Linked DNA regions of Coturnix japonica. The main gene of each other region encodes a partner of the protein of the gene in region 2 in a complex. Links are inferred from orthologs where the notes say so. Each region holds a gene or a part of one and is shown on either strand. Other genes may lie near its edges.

The links.
Region 1: POLE3 (region 2) and POLE4 share a complex: the UniProt entries of both Homo sapiens proteins name them as parts of the DNA polymerase epsilon complex. The link is inferred for Coturnix japonica from reciprocal best matches to the Homo sapiens genes POLE3 and POLE4.
Region 3: POLE3 (region 2) and POLE2 share a complex: the UniProt entries of both Homo sapiens proteins name them as parts of the DNA polymerase epsilon complex. The link is inferred for Coturnix japonica from reciprocal best matches to the Homo sapiens genes POLE3 and POLE2.
Region 4: POLE3 (region 2) and CHRAC1 share a complex: the UniProt entries of both Homo sapiens proteins name them as parts of the CHRAC ISWI chromatin remodeling complex. The link is inferred for Coturnix japonica from reciprocal best matches to the Homo sapiens genes POLE3 and CHRAC1.
Region 5: POLE3 (region 2) and BAZ1A share a complex: the UniProt entries of both Homo sapiens proteins name them as parts of the CHRAC ISWI chromatin remodeling complex. The link is inferred for Coturnix japonica from reciprocal best matches to the Homo sapiens genes POLE3 and BAZ1A.

What each region holds. Positions count from the first base shown.
Region 1 is NC_029543.1:373,740-377,205, forward strand, and holds POLE4 (DNA polymerase epsilon subunit 4), read right to left. Parts: upstream 2,099-3,466; 5' UTR 2,082-2,098; coding exon 1,899-2,081; intron 1,763-1,898; coding exon 1,678-1,762; intron 1,571-1,677; coding exon 1,529-1,570; intron 1,070-1,528; coding exon 1,056-1,069; 3' UTR 504-1,055; downstream 1-503. Other genes in the region: PRAM1 (PML-RARA-regulated adapter molecule 1), read left to right, coding at 2,896-2,898. UniProt on the Homo sapiens protein: Accessory component of the DNA polymerase epsilon complex. Participates in DNA repair and in chromosomal DNA replication.
Region 2 is NC_029532.1:789,229-793,405, reverse strand, and holds POLE3 (DNA polymerase epsilon subunit 3), read right to left. Parts: upstream 2,806-4,177; 5' UTR 2,736-2,805; coding exon 2,670-2,735; intron 2,595-2,669; exon of another isoform or gene 2,534-2,594; coding exon of another isoform or gene 2,477-2,533; exon of another isoform or gene 2,460-2,476; intron 2,394-2,459; coding exon 2,308-2,393; intron 2,123-2,307; coding exon 2,004-2,122; intron 1,515-2,003; coding exon 1,354-1,514; 3' UTR 377-1,353; downstream 1-376. Other genes in the region: ALAD (delta-aminolevulinic acid dehydratase), read right to left, coding at 147-210. UniProt on the Homo sapiens protein: Accessory component of the DNA polymerase epsilon complex. Participates in DNA repair and in chromosomal DNA replication.
Region 3 is NC_029520.1:52,269,722-52,273,232, reverse strand, and holds part of POLE2 (DNA polymerase epsilon subunit 2), read left to right. Parts: intron 1-888; coding exon 889-961; intron 962-1,891; coding exon 1,892-2,064; intron 2,065-3,511. UniProt on the Homo sapiens protein: Accessory component of the DNA polymerase epsilon complex. Participates in DNA repair and in chromosomal DNA replication.
Region 4 is NC_029517.1:131,125,143-131,129,339, reverse strand, and holds the start of CHRAC1 (chromatin accessibility complex protein 1), read right to left. Parts: upstream 2,801-4,197; 5' UTR 2,753-2,800; coding exon 2,579-2,752; intron 2,411-2,578; coding exon 2,284-2,410; intron 916-2,283; coding exon 770-915; 3' UTR 1-769. UniProt on the Homo sapiens protein: Forms a complex with DNA polymerase epsilon subunit POLE3 and binds naked DNA, which is then incorporated into chromatin, aided by the nucleosome remodeling activity of ISWI/SNF2H and ACF1.
Region 5 is NC_029520.1:32,626,955-32,630,931, reverse strand, and holds the start of BAZ1A (bromodomain adjacent to zinc finger domain protein 1A), read left to right. Parts: upstream 1-1,168; 5' UTR 1,169-1,524; intron 1,525-1,645; exon of another isoform or gene 1,646-1,748; intron 1,749-2,122; 5' UTR 2,123-2,145; coding exon 2,146-2,258; intron 2,259-3,977. UniProt on the Homo sapiens protein: Regulatory subunit of the ATP-dependent ACF-1 and ACF-5 ISWI chromatin remodeling complexes, which form ordered nucleosome arrays on chromatin and slide edge- and center-positioned histone octamers away from their original location on the DNA template to facilitate access to DNA during DNA-templated processes such as DNA replication, transcription, and repair.

The DNA.
Region 1 (3,466 bases), on a different chromosome or scaffold from region 2:
GTTCTCATCTCTAAGTGACTTTGGCACCACTTTAGTGGCCAACACTTTACAGCTGCATGTGTAACTGAATCCAGAGCTGCTCCCAAAGGCCACAGACCCACGGTGAACAAAGGGACCCATTTTGTCCTGTCAGGACACCCCACAGCATCCCTGAGCCTCTGCTCGTGGGCTCAGCCCAAAGACAAACCCTGATTGACCTGCTGTGAGCAGGCGATGCTGCCCAGCAAAGCACAGCAGGGAGAGATCAGACACAAAACCAGGCACCCCTATGGGCCCTGTGCTCAATGGGCCTGAATCAGCCCCGAGGGCAGCAAAAGGAACCTGCTGGCAAGGAAGGCACCGTGCAGCTCTGCCCAAAGCAGGACAGCTCATGGGCCACACGCTGTGCTTTGGCAAGGGCAGGGAGGGCTGCAGCACAGCCCAGCAGATCCACGCACAGGAGAAGGGCCAGGTTCAGCAATGAGAGCAAAGGAGAAGAGCAGTGAAACACGGCAGGCAACGCCTTCAAAAGCAGGGATTTATTACTGTCCAGCTGTGACCATCGCAGAACTTGATGGAGCCATGCAGCCCTAACAGCAACACGAGCCTCTCTGCAGCTCATCTGTGTGCCTGGAGCGGAGCATCCCTTCCAAACTGCATCTGTGCCACAGGAACAGCAGAGCAGCACAGAGCAGCATCACTCAGAACAGCCACTCAAAACAGCTCCGCCTTTAATTGCACTGGCCAAAAAGGAACCCAACAAAACACACAGAGACCAAAACATCCACTTCAATAATGTATCTACAGACCAGCAGGTGGGATAAACCAACAGGGAGCTGCCTCGGGAGCTCAGCTCTGCTCCATGGTGCCTGGGGGGGGGGCAGGGCTGGGGAGCAGCAGCAGAACAAGGAGGTCAGAGTCCTACAAAATACTTACAACAAAAGCTTTCAACAAAGATCTTACAGACACTCAGTCGTTACACAAAGCACCGCGGCTGCCCACATTGGTGTCCCACTGCTGGGAAGTGCAGCCGGTGCCGGCCGACCCATCTGCACAGAACCCCATTGCTGAGCAGCTCAGTCCAAAGTGCCTGGAAACAAAAACAACGATGAAGCAAAGCAGCCTCAGGGACCAGAAAGGAAAATGAAACACAGCTACAAGAACAGCTGGAACTCGGGTTTATAGGGAGCTGTGGGTCTATGGAGGGGGCTATATGGGGATGTGGGGCTAAAAGGCCCAGATAAAGGGAGTATGGGGGGGAAACAGGGGGGCATGGGGCTATGGGGGGCTGTACCAGGGATATAGAGGAATATGTGGCTACAGGGAGCAGTGGGGGGGGCTATAGGAGGCTGTAGGGTTATAGGGGGGGCTATAAGTGGGGTGTGGGGCTGGAAGGCCCAGATACAGACCCAGATAGTGAGACCATGGGGCTGCAGGAGGGATACAGGAAGGATATAGGAGGGATATAGGAGGGATATAGGAGGGATATAGGAGGATGCGGGGCTGCTTTGAAAGGGATTATGGACTAATGGGGGAAACCGAAACTCACCCTCCAGAAAAGCGAACTCATCAACAGCCTCAATGGCGTTATCTGCAAAGGGAAAAGGGCTCAGTGCCGACACAGACAGAAGGGCCAACCGGGAAGAGCTGGGACGTTTCTCTTCTCTTCGGACCCCCCCCCCCGGTTCCGCCCCGTACCCAGGTCCTTCCTCTGCAGCGTTTTCCTCTTCCCCTGCTGGGCGAACACAAACGCGTCCTTAGCGATGTTCTCCACGAACAGCTCCTGCGGGGCGAGCACGAGCGTCACACGGACGGAACGGGACGGAACGGGACAGACCGGGACAGAACGGCACGGACCGGAGGCTGCCCCGCATTACCCCGCACTGCCCCGCGTTGCCCCGCCCGCCCCCGCCGCTCACCGCGGCCCGCGCCAGCACGAACACGGCCTCGTGGCTGGCCAGGCTGACGTCCGGGTCCGCCTTCACCAGCGCCTTCACCCGTGACAGCGGCAGCCTGGCACCACGCGCCGCTCCGGGTCCCGCTCCCGGTCCCGCTCCTCCCGCATCTTCCGCCGCCGCCTCCGGCCCCGCCGCCGCCGCCATCCCGCAACGCGCATGCGCAGTGAGTGCTGCCTGCGGGGCGGAGCGGAGCGCCGGCTGTCATCGCTGTGTGCCGCTGGGGGGCGCTGTGTCTCTGTGCCGCTGGGGGGCGCTGTGTCTCTGTGCCGCTGGGGGGCGCTGTGTCTGTCTGTGCCGCTGGGGGGCGCTGTGTCTGTCTGTGCCGCTGGGGGGCGCTGTGTCTGTCTGTGCCGCGGAGCCGGGCGCCCCGCACGGGACCGGGCCCCTCCCGCATCCCCGGCCGGGTTCTCCGTCCTCCCGCCGCCCCCGAACTCGCCCCCCACCCGCTCTGTGCCCCACATCCCGCCCTCCGGCCCCGCTGTGCCCCAAACTTCCGCTCTGTGCCCCAAATTCGGCTCTCCGCCCCCCTGTGCCCCAAACGCAGCCCCGCAGTCCCCATAACCCCCCATCACCCACGGACACGGACGGGGCTCCGCTCAGCCCGTTCCCCCCCGGCCCGATCCCTCCTGTGCCGATGCTGCGGCCCGGGGTCGCTCCCTGAGCCCACGTCGGTTCCTGGACGGGGCAGCAGCATCTCCTCCCCCCCCCCCCACTCTCACATTCAGGCCGCAGCCGCTTCCTGGCGTTGCGCGCAGCCCCGCACCAACACAACGTTAGGAAACAGCTTCTGCTTTCAGTGCCGGGCGGGCTGAGCTCCTGCAGCTCCTGCAGCTCCTGCAGCCCCTTCAGCCCCTTCAGCTCCTTCAACTCCTTCGGCTCCTTCGGCTCCTTCGGCTCGGACGGCCCGCACGGTTCTCAGGAGGGAGGAGAGCCCATAGGACGCGTCCGTGGATGGGAAATGGTGAGCGCGAATGGTCCGACCCGCACCCGCACATCGTCACAGCCGCACCGGGCTGGGGGCAGTGGCAGCTCCGGAGCCCCCCGAGCAGCTCCCGGGATGGGTCAGCACCGGGTGGGCTCAGACAGGACAAAGCATCGCGGTGCCAGACGCTGCTCAGGTCGCAGTGACAGCGGCGCCGTTGCCCCGACGGCGCCATCGCGGGCAGCTCCGCGTCCCGGCTCACGGAGCGGCCACAAACACCGGGACGGGTCCCAGCTGGAGCCCTCGGTGCCCTCCGAGCACAAATCCCATTTTCCACCGTTTTTTCGCTGCCGTCCGTGCAGAACGTGGGCAACGTGCGCTGCTGAGCCCCCGTGGGTTCTGCCCCGGGACCAGGGGGCACCTGCCCCTTTTTAACACCAATTTCACATTATTTAATGCCCCACATTTGAGATCCCGCGGCTGAAAATGTCGCGCTGGATTCTCTGCGCTCCGGCCGTTCTGTTGTGAAAGAAAACAAAGTGATGCAAGAGCAAAACGAACCGAAATCCCGGGAGGAGGAGAACTAAAGAGAGAGAGACGCGATGGG
Region 2 (4,177 bases):
CGGGCCCTATGGACACCTCCCGGCCCCGTAACGCTCCGTGCCGATCCGGGCACTGCGGGCCGCTCTCGGTGCGGTGTCGCCCGACTCCCCGCAATAACCCCGCAGCACCGGCCGAACCGCGCTCAGACCCGCGACCCCGCGCTCACCTGCCGCCGCTTCCCGCCGCAGCACACAGCCAGATTTGCATAGCCCCGCCCCCCTGATTTGCATATCACAAGTCTCGCGCGGCGGAGCGCGGGAAAGGGCTGGCGCGCGCTTGTCTTGGCGCGCTCCCGGTGGCGGGAATTTGGCTCGTGGGCGCTGTGTGACCTGAACCGCAACGCACTCACACCACGAACAGCTCATGGATTAACCATGGAAATCAACCAGTCAAGACCCGTAAAGAATCTGAACTTTTATTTAAATCCTGGTCCGGGACGGGATACACCCCAACAGGTACCAGAAAGCTCAATAACATGGAATAAAGCCCCCAGACATAGAAGGAAACCAGTAATGCAGCACCCAGCAGCACCCAGCAGCCTGTCTGCAGGAGCTGCAGCTCCACAGAGGAGGGGAAGGAGCTGAGACCATCAGCTGCAGCACAACACACACTTGCTGCAGCCTTTTGCTGTTCCTCGGACATAATTTTGCAGGTAGCTTTGCTTAAGGTCGTTCATCAAAGTTCCCTCTTTGTCTCCAAGGGCTTGAAAGACACAAAACAGCATTTCTGGTATAGATTCACTTTGGAAGCACCTTCAAGTCTTTTTTTGTTATTATTCTGGTTCATGGAGGGGAGGAATTCAGCTCACTGACCCTCGTACTGTGTGCTGCATCCAGCTGGTGAGGCTGAAAGAGCATCACTGTGAAAGAGCAGGGGAGAGAAGGCACAGCCAGAATGCAAGACAACGAAGGGAAAAACATCACTTAGAGCTTGAACAGTCAGCTTCTAAGGCTCTCAACATCATCACGTAGACTCTAAACCCTGAGGGGTTAATGAGCCAGGATTCAGCTCTCCGCTTGGTTGAGTGAGCTTATTCATAAGCTCTTTCAGGTTCTCCAGGTCACTTCAGTGCTGAGCCATCCGACATTGCTCTTTTTTCCCTTTGTTTCAGAGTCAATCCAGCATAAAAATACCAGACCCATTACTGTCTGTTCAGCACCTGGGGAAGCTGCCAAGTCCCCTGCGTGCAGGGAGGTGAGGCACCCATGAGAAATGCTTTAGCCAAGTCCTTTGTGTACAGGCTAAAGCCAAAGAGAGATTCCAGAAGAACAGTACAGAGCTCTACTGGAAACCAGACGGGACATGGCCAGATTTCTTTACAACATTTATATCCCTAGTAACAAAACCCAACCCTGAATGTCCCATTGGCAAGCTCAGTTGTCCACCTCTTCCTCATCATTTTGCTCTTCTTCCTCCATCCTTTCATCATCATCATCATTATCATCTTCTCGGCTCTTATCTTGTTCCTCTGAGTCTGCCTTCTTGTCTTTATCTTTTCTCGCTTCTTTCTTTCCCTTCTGTTCACGTCTGTAAACTACAAAGAAAAAGAAGAGTGAAAACCTGCAAGCCGGTGTTTCCACCACGTGAGCACTACAGCAGCTGGGGCCCAGTGTCCACTTAATGAACTCACAGCAGCAGCTCCCCCTATTATTAGAGCTGTGCTGTCCAGCCCGTGAGAAATCAGGTGAAGTTTCAGCAGATAAATGCTGAATAGGACACAGGATTTCACATGTGCAGGCAACACCTACGACTTCCCTTACACAGACCTAAGAGGGGACTGATAGCAGATAAGACTTTCTCAGTTCTCATCAGTGGTGAAATGTTATCCCAGCTGTTAAGGTGCACATTATTAACATCCACACAAGCTGCAGTGTAAGATGCCAAGCAAAGAAGTATTTGCAAACTCTTGCTTTTTTGCAAAGTCTTGTTTTTACAGGACAGACAATTAAGTGCTGCTTGTCTGATGTAAGCAAACAGAACTTGGTGCTATGGCAGCTCCGTCCATAGGGTCACAGGCCGATACCTTCCAGGGATTCCTTCAGAGGAGCAATAAACCGCTGGAACTCCATTTCCTCCATGGCAGAGAGCACATCGCCAGCATTCAGCGTCTTCCTCTTCCCCTTCATGGCAAAGTTATTCGCACTGCTCAAAAACAAGAAGAGTTAATGGATAACTGCCATCATTCACTCTTCTTTATTACAGTTCTAAACGTGTCCAGAGGGGGGCCACAAAAATACACGATGGATGCACACCCAGCAACGAGCCCCAGCCCAACCAGCAGAGATCTGAGTTACTAACAGCAGCTTATACACACAACAAGCTCTTACCATGAGGTCGCATAGAGCACGAACACACTCGCTGCTCGGGATATCGCACTGCGGGCTTCTTTGGAGATGTTCACCCCGTCGGGCAGCTGGGAAGCAAATAAAGACCCGTTAATCGCTGCTGGGAAGCAAATAAAGAGCTGTGAACTGATGCTTTAAAGCAAATAAAGACCCGTGAACTGATGCTGGAAACCAAACCCAGGCCTGTCAGCTGCTGCTCCGAGCACATATCGGTTCTGCTGTGGCACTGAGCTCAGCACGGCCCTCAGGTAAGGCATTACGAGCAGCACAACCCCACAACGAGGATCTATGAGGGACAGCGAGGTCTCCGTATGGCCCAGCCCCGCAGCCCGTCCCGCACCCACCGCCTCCTTGATGATGCGGGTGATGACGGCGTTGGGCAGGTTCAGGTCCTCCGGTCTCTCCGCCATATTGGGCCTCCCGCGCCGCCACGGCCCACAATGCACCGCTCCTTCCCGCCCTGCCCCGCGGCCGCCGTTGGGGGGGGGAACAATATGGCGGCGGGGGGCCAATATGGCTCATTCGGCCTCTGGAAAGAAAACGAACTGTGATGTGGTGGAACAAAGCAGCACTCCGTTATTCCTCACCACACATAGAATGTGACTTGACAGGACACACCACGCAGTACATCAGCATCCACATCCATCTTTCTCCCATAAACATGAGCTGATTGATGGCCCTTTGTGTGCTCAGTGCTCCCAGTGCCCACCATTGAGGGCTCTGACCCGCTGCCATCCACTGCCCCCAGCTCAGGAGACCCCCATTGCTCATAAAGCCTTGATAAGCTCAGCCTCACTAAAGCTGAACGTTTCCAGCCCATGGATTCCTTTTGCTGAACCAATAGATTGGTCACTAATCCCTATTGCTAAAGAAGAAGGTTGACCCAGTGCTGTGCTGGGTTGGTTGCTCCCGCTGCTGGAAAATGCATGTAGGAAAGCCTGCACTGCCAGATCCTGCTCCCAACTTCAGGTTTTTAAGCTAACTTTTAACTTTTTAAGCTAACTTCAGGTTGGGAGCAGGATCTGGCAGTGCAGGCTTTCCTACATGCATTTTCCAGCAGCAGGAGCAGCATTGGGGATGATGCACAGCAGTTGTGAGATGTATTAATAGCTGGACTTACAGCTCGTATTGGACACAGTAACGTGTTGTGGTGCTGCACAGCATTACGGACACACAAAGGTCAGAGCTGGAGGAAGGACTGTGTGCGTGACAGCGCTGATTGCTTTCCCACTTACAGTAATTGTGTTAATCAAAGCCTATCGTTGCGCACACAAACCGCTCTCAAATCTCGTTTCTAACTCTTCAATGTATTCTTCTGTTAACAATTCTTCTGCAGGGTCATTCGGCGGCTCTCAGGGGTGAAGTGCTGTAGCAGGTGTTGCATTACTTTTTAATGAAATAATGACCGATTGTAGCTGGTCCATTTGTAACTGTAACACACGCTGCTAATGCCCGCTTCTGGACCAGCTGGCGGCTCGCTGTTAGCAAAGCCATCAGAAGTTGATCTCTGTTTTGCCAGAAGGCGAGGTTATTTCCTATATGCATAACCTAAGAACAAAGCAAGGCAAACTTGTGTTATTGTGCAGTGGGGGTGGGCTGGAATAGAAGCAGAGATGATGTTGGTCCAGAGCCAGGGACAGACAAAGCTCCTCTGCTCCCAAATAAAGGCCAGGGAGTAATGCCAAGCTGTATTCTCAGCCCTTGCAGGCTTGTGAGCCCATTCACACCTCTTCTTCCACATCAGTTCTACCAGGGTCCACCGTAAACCACTTCTCAGAGCAAGTTATGAGTGAGCACAAGTCAGGGAGGTCTGCAAGGTGCTCAGTGCCAGAGTCGAGGGCAGGTCCTGTTG
Region 3 (3,511 bases), on a different chromosome or scaffold from region 2:
ATTGTTGGCCCTAAACCTTTCCTGTTATCTCAGGCTCTCGAGGCAGTGCTCTGTGACATTCTATGCTTTTCAGTGATGTCCGTGGGGTGAGAGAAGCCCTCATGGCATTGGGCTCAGTTGGTCTGTCTGCAGCATGCTTGGAGGAGATAGGACCAGAGGAAAACATGGACTAGAATAACTGAACAGCCTGGTCTGGTGGTTGGTGACCCTGCACATAACAGGGGGGCTGGAATGAGACGATCATTGTGGTCCTTTTCAGCCCAGGCCATTCTATGGTTCTATGACTCTGTGAATAAAAAATAAGGAAATGCTGCTTTGTGTTGTCAAAGCCTTGGTCCTTCAGAGGCTTCTCATTAAGAGAGTGTGTCTGTAGTTTTGGAGCCTTAGATGTGCAGTGATGGACGTTGGTGTCTGTGGGATATTGCTCTGTGCATCCTGTGAATATGTTTTGTGTTTAAAATTTGTGAAATACATTAAGTAGAAGAGAAGCACAAGTGGGGAATGGGTACCACTCAGTTACTGCTTTTAAGACATGGCAGTTCACAAGAAAGGGTGCGGTTTGATGCAGACCATTCAGACCCGGAAATGATTGCTGTTTTCCTACATTCTTACTCAGTTGGGTTGAGAAGATTATGTGGCTGTGCAGCAAATCCATTCAAAGAAATGGTCAAGGCCTAAAATAGTTGGTATCTCGCTCAGCTTGTTTTTCAGCCAGATAGTTCCCCGCTCCGGTTCACTGCTGAGCAGTGCAGGGACTGGTGCTGGCACAAGAGCGGGATTGATGGAGGCTGGGACTGAGCAGCTCAGCTGCCAACTGTCTGACTAATGTCTGGAGTATGATGCTGTTACAAAAACTAAAGGTTATTTTGTTGTTCAAAAATGTCTTAGGTTGGTATGAAGATGAAGTTTTTCATGTGAATGCCTTTGGATTTCCGCCTACTGAGCCGTCTGCTGCCACTAGGTATGAAACTGACTTTTGGCAGCCTCACTCTGACTTTGTATTTTGTTGTAGGTTTCCAAGTAAGCTCGTTATCAGTTTATAATTTTTGTGACATTGAAGTATGCTATTATTTCCCCTCCCCAAATATTTCAGAATAAATACTTTCTTTTCCTATGAGGAAAGGTTGAGGGAACTGGGCTTGTTCAGCTTGGAGAAGGCTGCAGGGAGACCTCATTGTGGCCCTGCAGTATTTGAAGGGAACATATAAACAGGAGAGGGAACGGCTGTATGTGAGGGTGGGCAGTGACAGGACAAGGGGGAATGGTTTGAAACTGAGACAGGGGAGGTTGAGGTTGGATCTTAGGAGGAAGTTTTTCCCCCAGAGGGTGGTGACGCACTGGAACAGGTTGCCCAAGGAGGCTGTGGATGCCCCATCCCTGCAGGCATTCAAGGCCAGGCTGGATGTGGCTCTGGGCAGCCTGGGCTGCTGGTTGGTGACCCTGCACACAGCAGGGGGTTGGAGCTGGATGATTATTGTGGTCCTTTTCAACCCAGGCCATTCTGGGATTCTGTGAAATACAATTTTAAGGAGGCAGTTCTGAGACTTGCATGTTCTGCGTGTTAATAACCACTGAGATCTAAGCATTTCTAGATGGCATAACTAAATACTATTAGATAGGAATATGGAACTCTGTATTGCTCAGGGAGTGGATGAGGGAGGGGACCGTGGGTACACATTACCCTGAGATAATCTGTGGAAGCCCATGCTTTAGATGTGGGTGACTGCCATTTCTTTTCCTTGGTTTCTCCATCAGCTACTAAATGATAAAGGATACAATTTGAGCTACCTTTCATAATAATGATAATTAAAATGGCTCAGGTGAGTCATAATCAAAACTAGTAATTATTTGGGAAGAGAACAGAGTTAACATGAATATTTTAATAATACAGAGCCTTCTATGGGAATATAAACTTCTTTGGAGGTCCTTCCTCAACTTCAGTAAAGGCTTCTGCAAAACTGAAGCAGCTGGAGGATGAAAACGAGGATGCCATGTTTGTGTTTCTTTCTGATGTGTGGTTGGACCAAGCAGAAGTACTAGAAAAGCTGCATACAATGTTTTCAGGTAGGTGGTGGCTGCTTTGAGTCTGAGCTTTGTTCTAGAGAAATTTTACCATCTCCCTTGATCCCTAGCAGTGCTGCTGGTGGCACTGGTGAGTGTGACAAGACACACAGCTAGCTGGCCCTGGGTCCACTTCTATGGCTATGCCCCCCCCTGCTTTGGGCTGAGAGCTCTGGCCTCGCGCTGAGCCTGCACAGGAAATATCCCATGGGAAACCTGCTTTGCAGAGCTGTAAGCTGATGTAGCTTTCTGTACTTGCATCCTGTGTTTGCTCACGTGAGCATCACTGTCCATGCAGGGCAAGCTGGTCAGCTTATGGCTGGCAGCTGGGCTGCTGTGCCCAGGGTCTGCTCACTGCGGTCTGATTGTGCTCTTTTGTGAAATAGGAAGTTTTGTACCTTGTTCACAGGTATGCCTTTAAATGAAAAGGTTGGGCATCGATTTCCAGGTGTCCTTTTGCTTTGTTTATTGTGTGTTTTGGGTGACTTTCAGTTCTGAGAAAGTAACAATAAACCCAGCTGTGGGCAGTATTCCACTGAAGCCCACTGAACCCCAGCCTAAGTAAAGCCAGGGAGGTCTTGCTGCAGTTTTAATGGTAACTATTTGCATTTCACGTTTGCTATTCTGTTTCTTTTGGATCTCTCTTTAACAGATTTACAAATTGTATTGTATTATATTTTTGCGAGCTGTCACTTCCTTTTCATCAACCTTTTAGCACCGATATTGCTTTGGGCAGTCGCCATTTTATGTGCTTTGACAGGAAAGTTCGTGAAATGTCGTCCTAGCCTTAGTTTAAAGAAAACATGGAGTTCATCAGAGATGAGCAGTCCCTCTTGAATCCTGTCTGCTTTTTACCAATGGAAAAATGTCAGTTATTCTCAAAATATGGGCTGTTTCTTCCCTGCATCATTACATTAGTAATGATGGCAATGTTTGGATAACAAGCATCTGTGAGATCTGTGAATTGCTTCTTTGTATTCCAGAACAGTTTTGGAACAGCTTGTCCTGTCTGCCTTAGGTAGAATGGAGGTGTGAGAGGGCGGCTGCCTTAAAAAACAAGCAGTATGAAATTAAGGGTGCCAATCTGCGATTCGCTTAAGGAAAATTGAACATGTTGTCATAATGTCTACTGAGAAGTGAAGTAGTTAACTCTGAAGCTAGGAAACCAGTTCTGTATCTTGATGAGAGTTGGCAAGATCCTTGAACCAAACCAAACCTGTGTCATTAGTGCTATGGTGAGGGTTAGTCAGCTTCATAATGCTAAAAAATGAGTTAAATATTGGGAGAGCTTTTGAATTGGAATGACTCATGGGGGTTAATAATAATTCATTGCTACTTACTTGCTGTTTTTCTCTTCAAGGAAAGAATGTATTATTATTATTAGGTCTTAGTTGTGTCATTGTGTGACTGGGTCAGTGCTTAGTTGTATACACACAAACAGTGTTGTTGG
Region 4 (4,197 bases), on a different chromosome or scaffold from region 2:
AATCCACGTTTAACAGACTTCACTCAGCGTATTTTATCAGAGCACCACGGGCACACAGAGCTGATTACAGAGGAAGGATCTTGTACACATTGATGCTGTTATCCACCACATCTACTTCTTATCACTGCGGCCACTGAAACACATTCGCTGTTGGAATGGTTCTCGTCCTCTACTCAGCTTCTGTGCGGATGTGCCGGTTTAGGCTGCATTACAGCAAGAGCTTTATTATTATTATTATTCTTTTTTTTAAAGCTAAATCAAAATCAAAACAGAACACTCATTCAAATCGGGCTTGGTCCACTGCTAATGCCCTGCCACTGTTCCGGAATACAGGGGAAGGGTTGGATCGCTTCCTGGCTCCCCAAGCAGAAGAGGACCAGGGGGAGCAGATCCTGTGTAAAACCCCTCCCCTCACCTGAGAAACACAACATGGGAAAGAGCTCCCTTTAAAGAGTGAAAGAGCTTTTGGACTGAGAGCTGCCTGTGAGGAATTGTACGTTTGGAAAACGATTGTCTGAAGAAGTCATTCTCATTCATCTGAGCAAGTTCTGCTGTCAGCTTTACATTAGTGCTTCTCTTGTCACCACGTTTCTGAGGGAAGAATTCCATTCTTCAGGAAGTACGCAGTTCAGTTTTTAAACTTCTTAAAGCAAAAGCAGATGGCTCAGTGTATAAATAAATCCAGCATCTGGATTCTCAGTCACAAAAATAACATCCTTTACGCAACAAAAAAAAATGGATCAATTATGAAGCAGCTTCCCATTTAGCCTTAAGATCCAACAGCTTCATCCACAGCTTCATCATCATCCTCTTCATCATCATCCTCTTCATCACAGTTCCCCAACTCTCCACCTCGCTTCTCTTTTTCGAGCATTTTTAGGTATTTGCTAGCTAGGATTTTCTTTGGCAAGATATCTGGAAGGGAGAATGGCTTCTTTTAGTCAGTGTAAGTACTTACATTGCCTATTTCATAGTGTTGCATTCATACAGGATCACACAGTCACAGAGGTTAGAAGGGACTGAGCAGCACTAAACAAAACCAAAGCAACTAACACATTTCAGTTAATAACCAGTTAATTTAGCCTGGCGTACAGATGTATCACAAGTGGAAGTGGATGTAATTCCTTTTTTCTTTTTTAACTATAAGCAATGTTATTTGTTTGATGTTAAATGGGATGCTCAATTACTCAACAGCCTTTGAGAGATTCAATAGGACAGCTGCCTTACTTGTGTCCTAGACAAACCTGATTACTGTGTTCAGGTAAGATGCTCATTCAGGGCAGTAACGATGGCCCTGAGACAAGGGCCATCAAATATCTCATTCTCAGACTCTATCCTATGTCCATGCCCTTTCAGAGTGAAACATTACCAATAAATTACAACAAGAGAAAGGTCTGCATGCACATGTGCGTACAGATGTAAATATGTGCATTAAAAAAGAGAGAGGAACCATAGGATGCATAATTTTCAACAAACAGGATTTGCAGAATTAAATGCTTTTTGAGCCATGTAATTTGTCACATCTTTTTTGGGTCTTGTTTTACAAGCTGAAAGCTTTTAAATGTTGTTGGCATGTTAGAAACGCTTATGGCAATACACTGAGCACTAATTACCCCAGTATAATTTTGCAACACTGGAGAAATCCCTGTCCACAAATAGGTGTTTTCAGCAATGTAGATTATGAGTTTGATTTGAATCACAGAATAGATTGGGTTGGAAGAGACCTTAAAAGCCTATCTAGTTCCAACTATATATGGTCTGGGCTGCCACCCACCAGACCAGGCTGCCCAGGGTCCCACCCAACCTGGCCTTGAACCCCTCCATGGAGGGGGAATCTCCAGCTTCTCTAGGCAGCCTGTTGCTGTGCCTCACCACCCTCTCAGTAAAAAATAAGAAAAGTAATAATAAAATAAAAATTAATAAAAATCCAATTTAAATCTCCCCTCTTTTAGTTTTAACCCCCCCCCCCCCTTGTTCTATCGCTGAGACCATGTAAAAAGTCAGACTTCCTCCTGCTTGTAAGCTCCATTCAAGTGCTGCAATGAGGTCCCTCTGGAGCCTTCTCTTCCCTAAGCTAAAGAACCTTTCTTCATAAGAGAGGTGCTCCAGCCCTTTGATCATCTTTGTGGCCCTCCTGCAGACCTGCTCTAACAACTCCACATCTTTTTGCACACATAATAAGGGCACCTAGCAGAGGTGATTGCAAAAGCAGGAGTGGAAGAGTGGCTAAAGTGCAGCAGATCTACAAAACTACACACAGGATTACCACTGCTCTACAGATACCTGCAAGGAACTGAAAGGTTTCGCACTCCTCTGCGGTGTGAGACAGGTCGCTGTAGGTGAGGGCGTTATTCTCCTTGCCTCTGCCGTGTTTGTAGGAGTACGACGCCAAATACTGAACGAAAAGCTCCTAAAACGGAAAGCAAATAATAGTGACTCGGATATAAAAAAGGCAGTTTAACTCCCAATCAAAGCCATAAAAAATTAAAGTGCAGGTATATACAGGGCGCTGGATGCTGTGGCGCTGAGGGAAAAGGCGCAACCCGGCCGAGAGGGGAGGGAAAGCGGGAGACGCTACCGTGGCTTTAGCGGTGAGGAAAAGCGCGTCCTGGTTGATGCTGGAAACCTCCGGCGAGCTCTTCATGATGACTCGGATCCGCGATAGCGGCAGTGACACCAGCCGGTTCTCCCCGCCGCTCAACCTGGCCGCCATTTTACCCCCCCGGCGCGGCCCCGGCCTTTCACCCCTCATCGTAGCGAGAAATGGGCGGCAGCAGCTCGGCCCCCTGGGAGCTGTAGTCCGTGACCGACAGAGGGAACCCGAGCTCCGTTGGAGGGAGGAGGAGGAGGGACTACAGCTCCCGTGAAGCCGAGCGCTGACCGGGCGGCGGGAGGACTACGAGCCCCCGCGCTCGGCCGTTGCCGGCTCTGGTGCTATGGGCGGGATGGCGGCTCCTCACAGCCCCTCAGAGCGGGTCTCACAGAATCATAGAATGACCCGGGTTGGAAGGGACCTCAAGGATCATTATGTTCCAACCCCCCTGCCCAGCAGGGCCACCAAACATACACCTTTACTAGATCAGGTTGCCCAGGGCCCCGTCCAACCTGGTCTTGAACACCTCCAAGGACGGGGCATCCACAACCTCCCAGGGCAGCCTGTTCCAGGGTCTAACCACTCTCCTAGTGAAGAACTTCCCCCTAACGTCCAACCTAAATCTTCCCTCTTTTAACTTAAAACCATTTCCCCATGTCCTGCTATTGTCAGCCCTTTCGAAGAGTTTACTCCCCTCCTGGGAGTCAGTTCCCTTCAGGTATTGAAAGGCTGCAATGAGGTCACCCCGCAACCAAGGGTCTCATACTGCTTGAGCGCCTGGAACTCGTTTATAATGGCAAATAGGCGCTTCCTAAATATAATCCAAGTAGAGGCCAGCGGCTACAGAGTCATGAGTGTAATCACAGGTTGCTAAACGCCTCATTAAGCTGCTGCAGCCCAATAGCAGGGAGCGCTGTCTGGTATCCTGGCGCTTGTAGGCGTGCTGGGTGTGGAGAGCATAAGTAAACTATGAAGTAATGATGGCGGTGGTGACTTTATGAATGCATTCCACATATATGTAGCACCTACACTCTGTGTTGAGCTGCAGGTGGATGGGGAATGGCTGTGGGTATGGTCAGCAATGTCTTGCACAGCCTGTGGTTTGGATGGGTGCACAACTTGTTGGGTAAAATGTGGCACCTTCAACAGTTGTCAGCAACTTAATACAGCGATAGCACAACAATATATATTTGTTCATTGGCTTTGGGTCCAGCATCACCGTATCTGGAGACAACTTTGACAGTTAAGCAACAGCAATCAAAACCTCTTGGACTGCGTGATTCACTTCAGAGTACAACACTGGTGAAATCACTCTGTAGATTATATCCAAAGTGAAGTGTTATGTACAATGATGCTGTATATGTATCGATCAGGCTCAGTTTGTTTGATCCTTGTAGTCTTGTGACACCTTGTGGAAACAGTTGACATTACTATGACAGCGAGATACATATTTAAGCATCTTCTCAGTTTCTCCACCACTTGGAATGAATTCAACCAGGAGATTGAGTAGCTTAATGGCAATGTCAAAGCTCTACACTGTTGTGTTTACAGAGTCACAATCTGATTATCTCCTAGAGACAATAAAACATCAACTACTCCAATTT
Region 5 (3,977 bases), on a different chromosome or scaffold from region 2:
GTAAGGAAAAACCAGCCCAACTCCCAGATATCACGATACTGGCTTCAAAGTAAAGATACTTTCAAAAATGATCAACTCGAGTCTGTCTGTTCCCTTCTCATTTGTGAGCTGCAGGTTCACATGTTCTAGTTCTTCTCTCCAACTTGAGATTTAGAAATGTAATTATTTTTATATAAGCCGAGGTTCCAATTTAATCCCATCTGCCGAGGAGTTTGAGTTGAAAACAAAGCGTAGTGTTGCAAAATCTCACTGTAATCGTGAGGGCTGCCAAGACTAAATGTCACAGCCGTGGCATACTGTAGAGTTTTGATGCAAAACTGACTAAAATTGATGTTTGATGCGCTAAAAGTGCATTAACTGAAAGTTGCATTTGTGCCATTTGCTGGTAATTAATTACAAACTGAAAGCGAAGCCAAGTGGCAAATAAAAATGAGCTGGTGGAACTCGGAGCTAACCTGTGCTGTAGTTCAAGTTCAGTACTTTGTAAACTTGAGGAGAGCACTGGCATTTCTCAGCGCTTTTCATTAAAACCCGATCACTTTTTAAACAAAGCAATTCACGACTTGGAGTGTAAACATTCTTTAAGATTGCAGTCATCCGGGCTACAGCAACGCCGATCCTTGCACGGAAGACAAACAGCCCCTGTACAGGTGCAGGAAGCAGCGCAGCACCTTTATGTGCCTGAGCAGGGTTGATGCTGAAGGCTCCTGCTTAGATGTGAGCCCCCAGAAACCGCCCACCCGGGTGGTTCTGTGTGTGAGGGGGAGGGCTCTGCGATAGTTAAGTGCGCTTCTATGTAAGCGCTGGAGCTTGCGGTGGGCTCTATGCATACGTCTCTAAGCCGGCTGTCACGTAAGAGATCACAATTAGGCTAAGGTCCATGATTTAATTACGCATGGAAATGCCTTAAAGACAGTAAAAACGGTGAAAAATAAAACCGCTACCAACAGAAAACCGAGTACACCGGTAGCGCGATGTACGGACGTTTCCAACGAAGTGGCGGAAAAATAAAGGGGGCGGCGGAACGGGGCCCAGCTCCGGGCACAACTGACGCGCTGCCGACCTTCCCCGCAGCACAACACGCACAGCCCGGTGCTGCCGTGCGCCTCGGCTGCCGGCTGCCCCCGGCTTCGGGCAGGGAAAGCTGCGGCCGGGGGCTGCCTGCTGAGCGCGGCGCTGCCGGGGCGGGGATCCACGGGGCCGGGGGGCGAGCGGGGAGAACCGCCTTCCTCCCCTCGGCCGGCAGATCGCAGGCTGATAATTCAAAAATGGAGGATGAGCCCTCTCAGCCATTAATTAATAATGTAGCTCTCTGTCTTCCTGTGTGACACACGCTGGAAGGCACCGAGCGGCCAATAAAGATGTAGGGGAGAGAAGTGGAAAGCTCCTCCCAGCAGCTCTTCCTGATTGAGGGCTCGAAGAAGTAGATCAAAAACTTCCCGGGAGCTGGGGGGCAGAGGAGAAGCGGGGTAGAGCCGCGGGCCGCGTTACGTACCGCCCGAGCAGCCGGGGCAGCGGCTCCAGGTAGGAGGCGGAGGGGCCGGGCAGCCCCCCGCACCGCGCCGCACCCGGAGCCAGGGCCGCGCCGTCCCGCGGAGGCAGGAGGCGGCGGCCGGGGAGCGGCCGGGGCGGAAAGGGCTGCGGAGCGCGCCGGGGCGGCCAGCAGGCAGGAAGCGGCCGCCGCGCTCGCCCCGCGGGGAGTGGAAGTTGTGTCCGGCCGCGGCGCGCGGCTCGGAGGCGGGGAAGGGGTGAGGAAGGGGTGACCCGGGGGGCGGGGGGGGGGGCGACGGAGACAAAGCCGGCGGCGGCGGCCGGGGTGTCCCCGCGCCGAGCACGTTGTGTGGCGCGGGAGGGGGGGGAGCACCGCGCCCGCCCGCCGCTCGGCGTCACGGCCCCATTGTGAAGGCGGCGGGAGGAGGCGGGGGAGGAAGGATCCGCCGCCGCTCCCCGCGCAGTCCCAGGCAGGCAGCGGCGTGTCAGGCACACAAAAGGCCGCCGCCGGATCCCGCCGTGCCGCTGTTCTCTGCCGCTCCTTCTCCGGCGCCCCCGGGGGAGGGACGCGCCGGGCCCGCTCTCACCGCTTCTCACCCTTCGTCTCCTTTCTCCCCGGGTCCCGGCGCAGCGAGGACAGAACGGAACGCGGCGATGCCGCTGCTGCACCGAAAGCCCTTCGTGAGGGAGAAGCCCCCCGCCGACCTGCGGCCGGACGAGCGCGTGTTTTACTGCAGGGTCACTAACGAGATCTTCAGGGACTACGAGTAAGTCGGTCGCCCCCCAACGCCCCCCCTCCCTCCGTTCTTCCCCTTGGCCGGGAGCGGTTACCCCCAACGGCTGACACCTGGGCGGGGAGGAGGAGGGAGGGGATTCCCCGGCAGCGCCGCGGGGCGCCCGGCGGGGAGGGGTCGCGGCTGGCGCCGAGCCCGTGCCCCACCGCGGGGTGGGGGGAGAGGGAGGGCGGATCTCCCGGCCCGGGGAATCCCTGCCCCGCTCGGCGGGGTGACCCCGCGGCCCCGTCTTTCCTGGGGGGCTGTAGGGGGGGCTGCCCGCTGCCACCCGGCTCCTTCCGCGGGGAAGTGAAAGTTGCGCGCGTGGGAGGCGGCGCTGAGCCCCGGGCCGCCGCTTCTCCCCCCCCCGCCTCCATCCCGCCGCGTGTCGGTGCTGCGCAAGGCCGGGACGCGGCAACAACCAACGGCCGCCGCGCGCGCCGGGCCCGGGATTCGGCGGCGGCTCCGCGCGTGGAGCGTGGCACGCACCCACCGCGCTATTGTTGTGTGTGTATGTGCGTGCGTGTGTGTATGTGTGTGTGCGCTGAGCCGCAGGGCCGCGCGGAGCCCCTTGTTCCCGGCACCCTCTCCCGGGCCGGTGTCAGGGCCGCCGCGCCGCCCATGGCCGCCCTCGCCCCGCCCTCCGCCGGCTGCCGGCCCGACGACTGACCCGGCTGGACGCGGCCCGGCCCCGGGAGCCCGCGGCGCTGCACCTGCTTCCGGGCGGGGGCTGGGGGGGGGGCACGGAGCGGAGCCGGTGCGCTCGTCCGGCGGGGGACACCTGTCCCCAGCTCCGTCCGGTTCCAGTTCTCTGGCTGCTTCCCCCCCCCCCGTCCGTCCTTTTATTCTGCCGGTGCGCAGACCGGCGGCAGTCGAGCTGTCGTTAGTGCAGGGGGGAGCCCGGGCTCGTCCCTAAGTTGGTGTCAGCGCTGTCAGAACAATAGGCGGAAAGTGCTCAGCTCCTCTCGGCGCGGGGCTCTGTGCCCCGGGGCCGCTCGGCTCCGTCCCACCTGCGGGGGGGCCCCAGCGCCGAGCTCTCCTTTTTTTGTCTGCACAACAGACGTGCAGACTAATGAGATTAAATCAGAAACGCTTCTCGTTCGCAGCATGCGAAATTAGAGCACACCTAGATCTTTTTCGTGCTTAGACTTGTTTTTCTTACTCAAATGCATCTCGCCGAGTACAGTCGGGCCGGGGCCGGGTTGGGAAACTGCCTGGCGCTGCGGGGATGGCTGCGGCGGCCCCGGGTGTCACAAACTGCCCTTGTGCGTTCCGTTATCGCTGGCACGTCATGGGATGGCTCCCGTGCAGTGTTGACACGGCTCTGGAGTACGTTTCTGGTGTGTGTGTGTATATATATATATATAGTTTAGAGTAAATTTGAGCATGAAAGGTATCTTTCAGCTTTGGCGCGGTGTGGTGAATGTTTAATGCGGGACCAAATCCCATGTTTAACCGAAGTATGAATGAAGGGATAAATTTAAGCTTGTTCACACAGGCCGTCCCTAGCAGTGCCTGTGGGTGGCTCACCCTGAGGTCGAGGCTGGGATATGGCGTTTGGGAAAGGACTTCCACCTTTCCTGCACATATCTTTGCTGTGTTTATTTATTATTATTATTATTAATTTATTTTTCTGCATGGAGAAAATGGATGCTTTGCAGCGACAAGCCCAGTATTTTTTACATGATATGTCATGCTGCAGCTGGGTGTGTT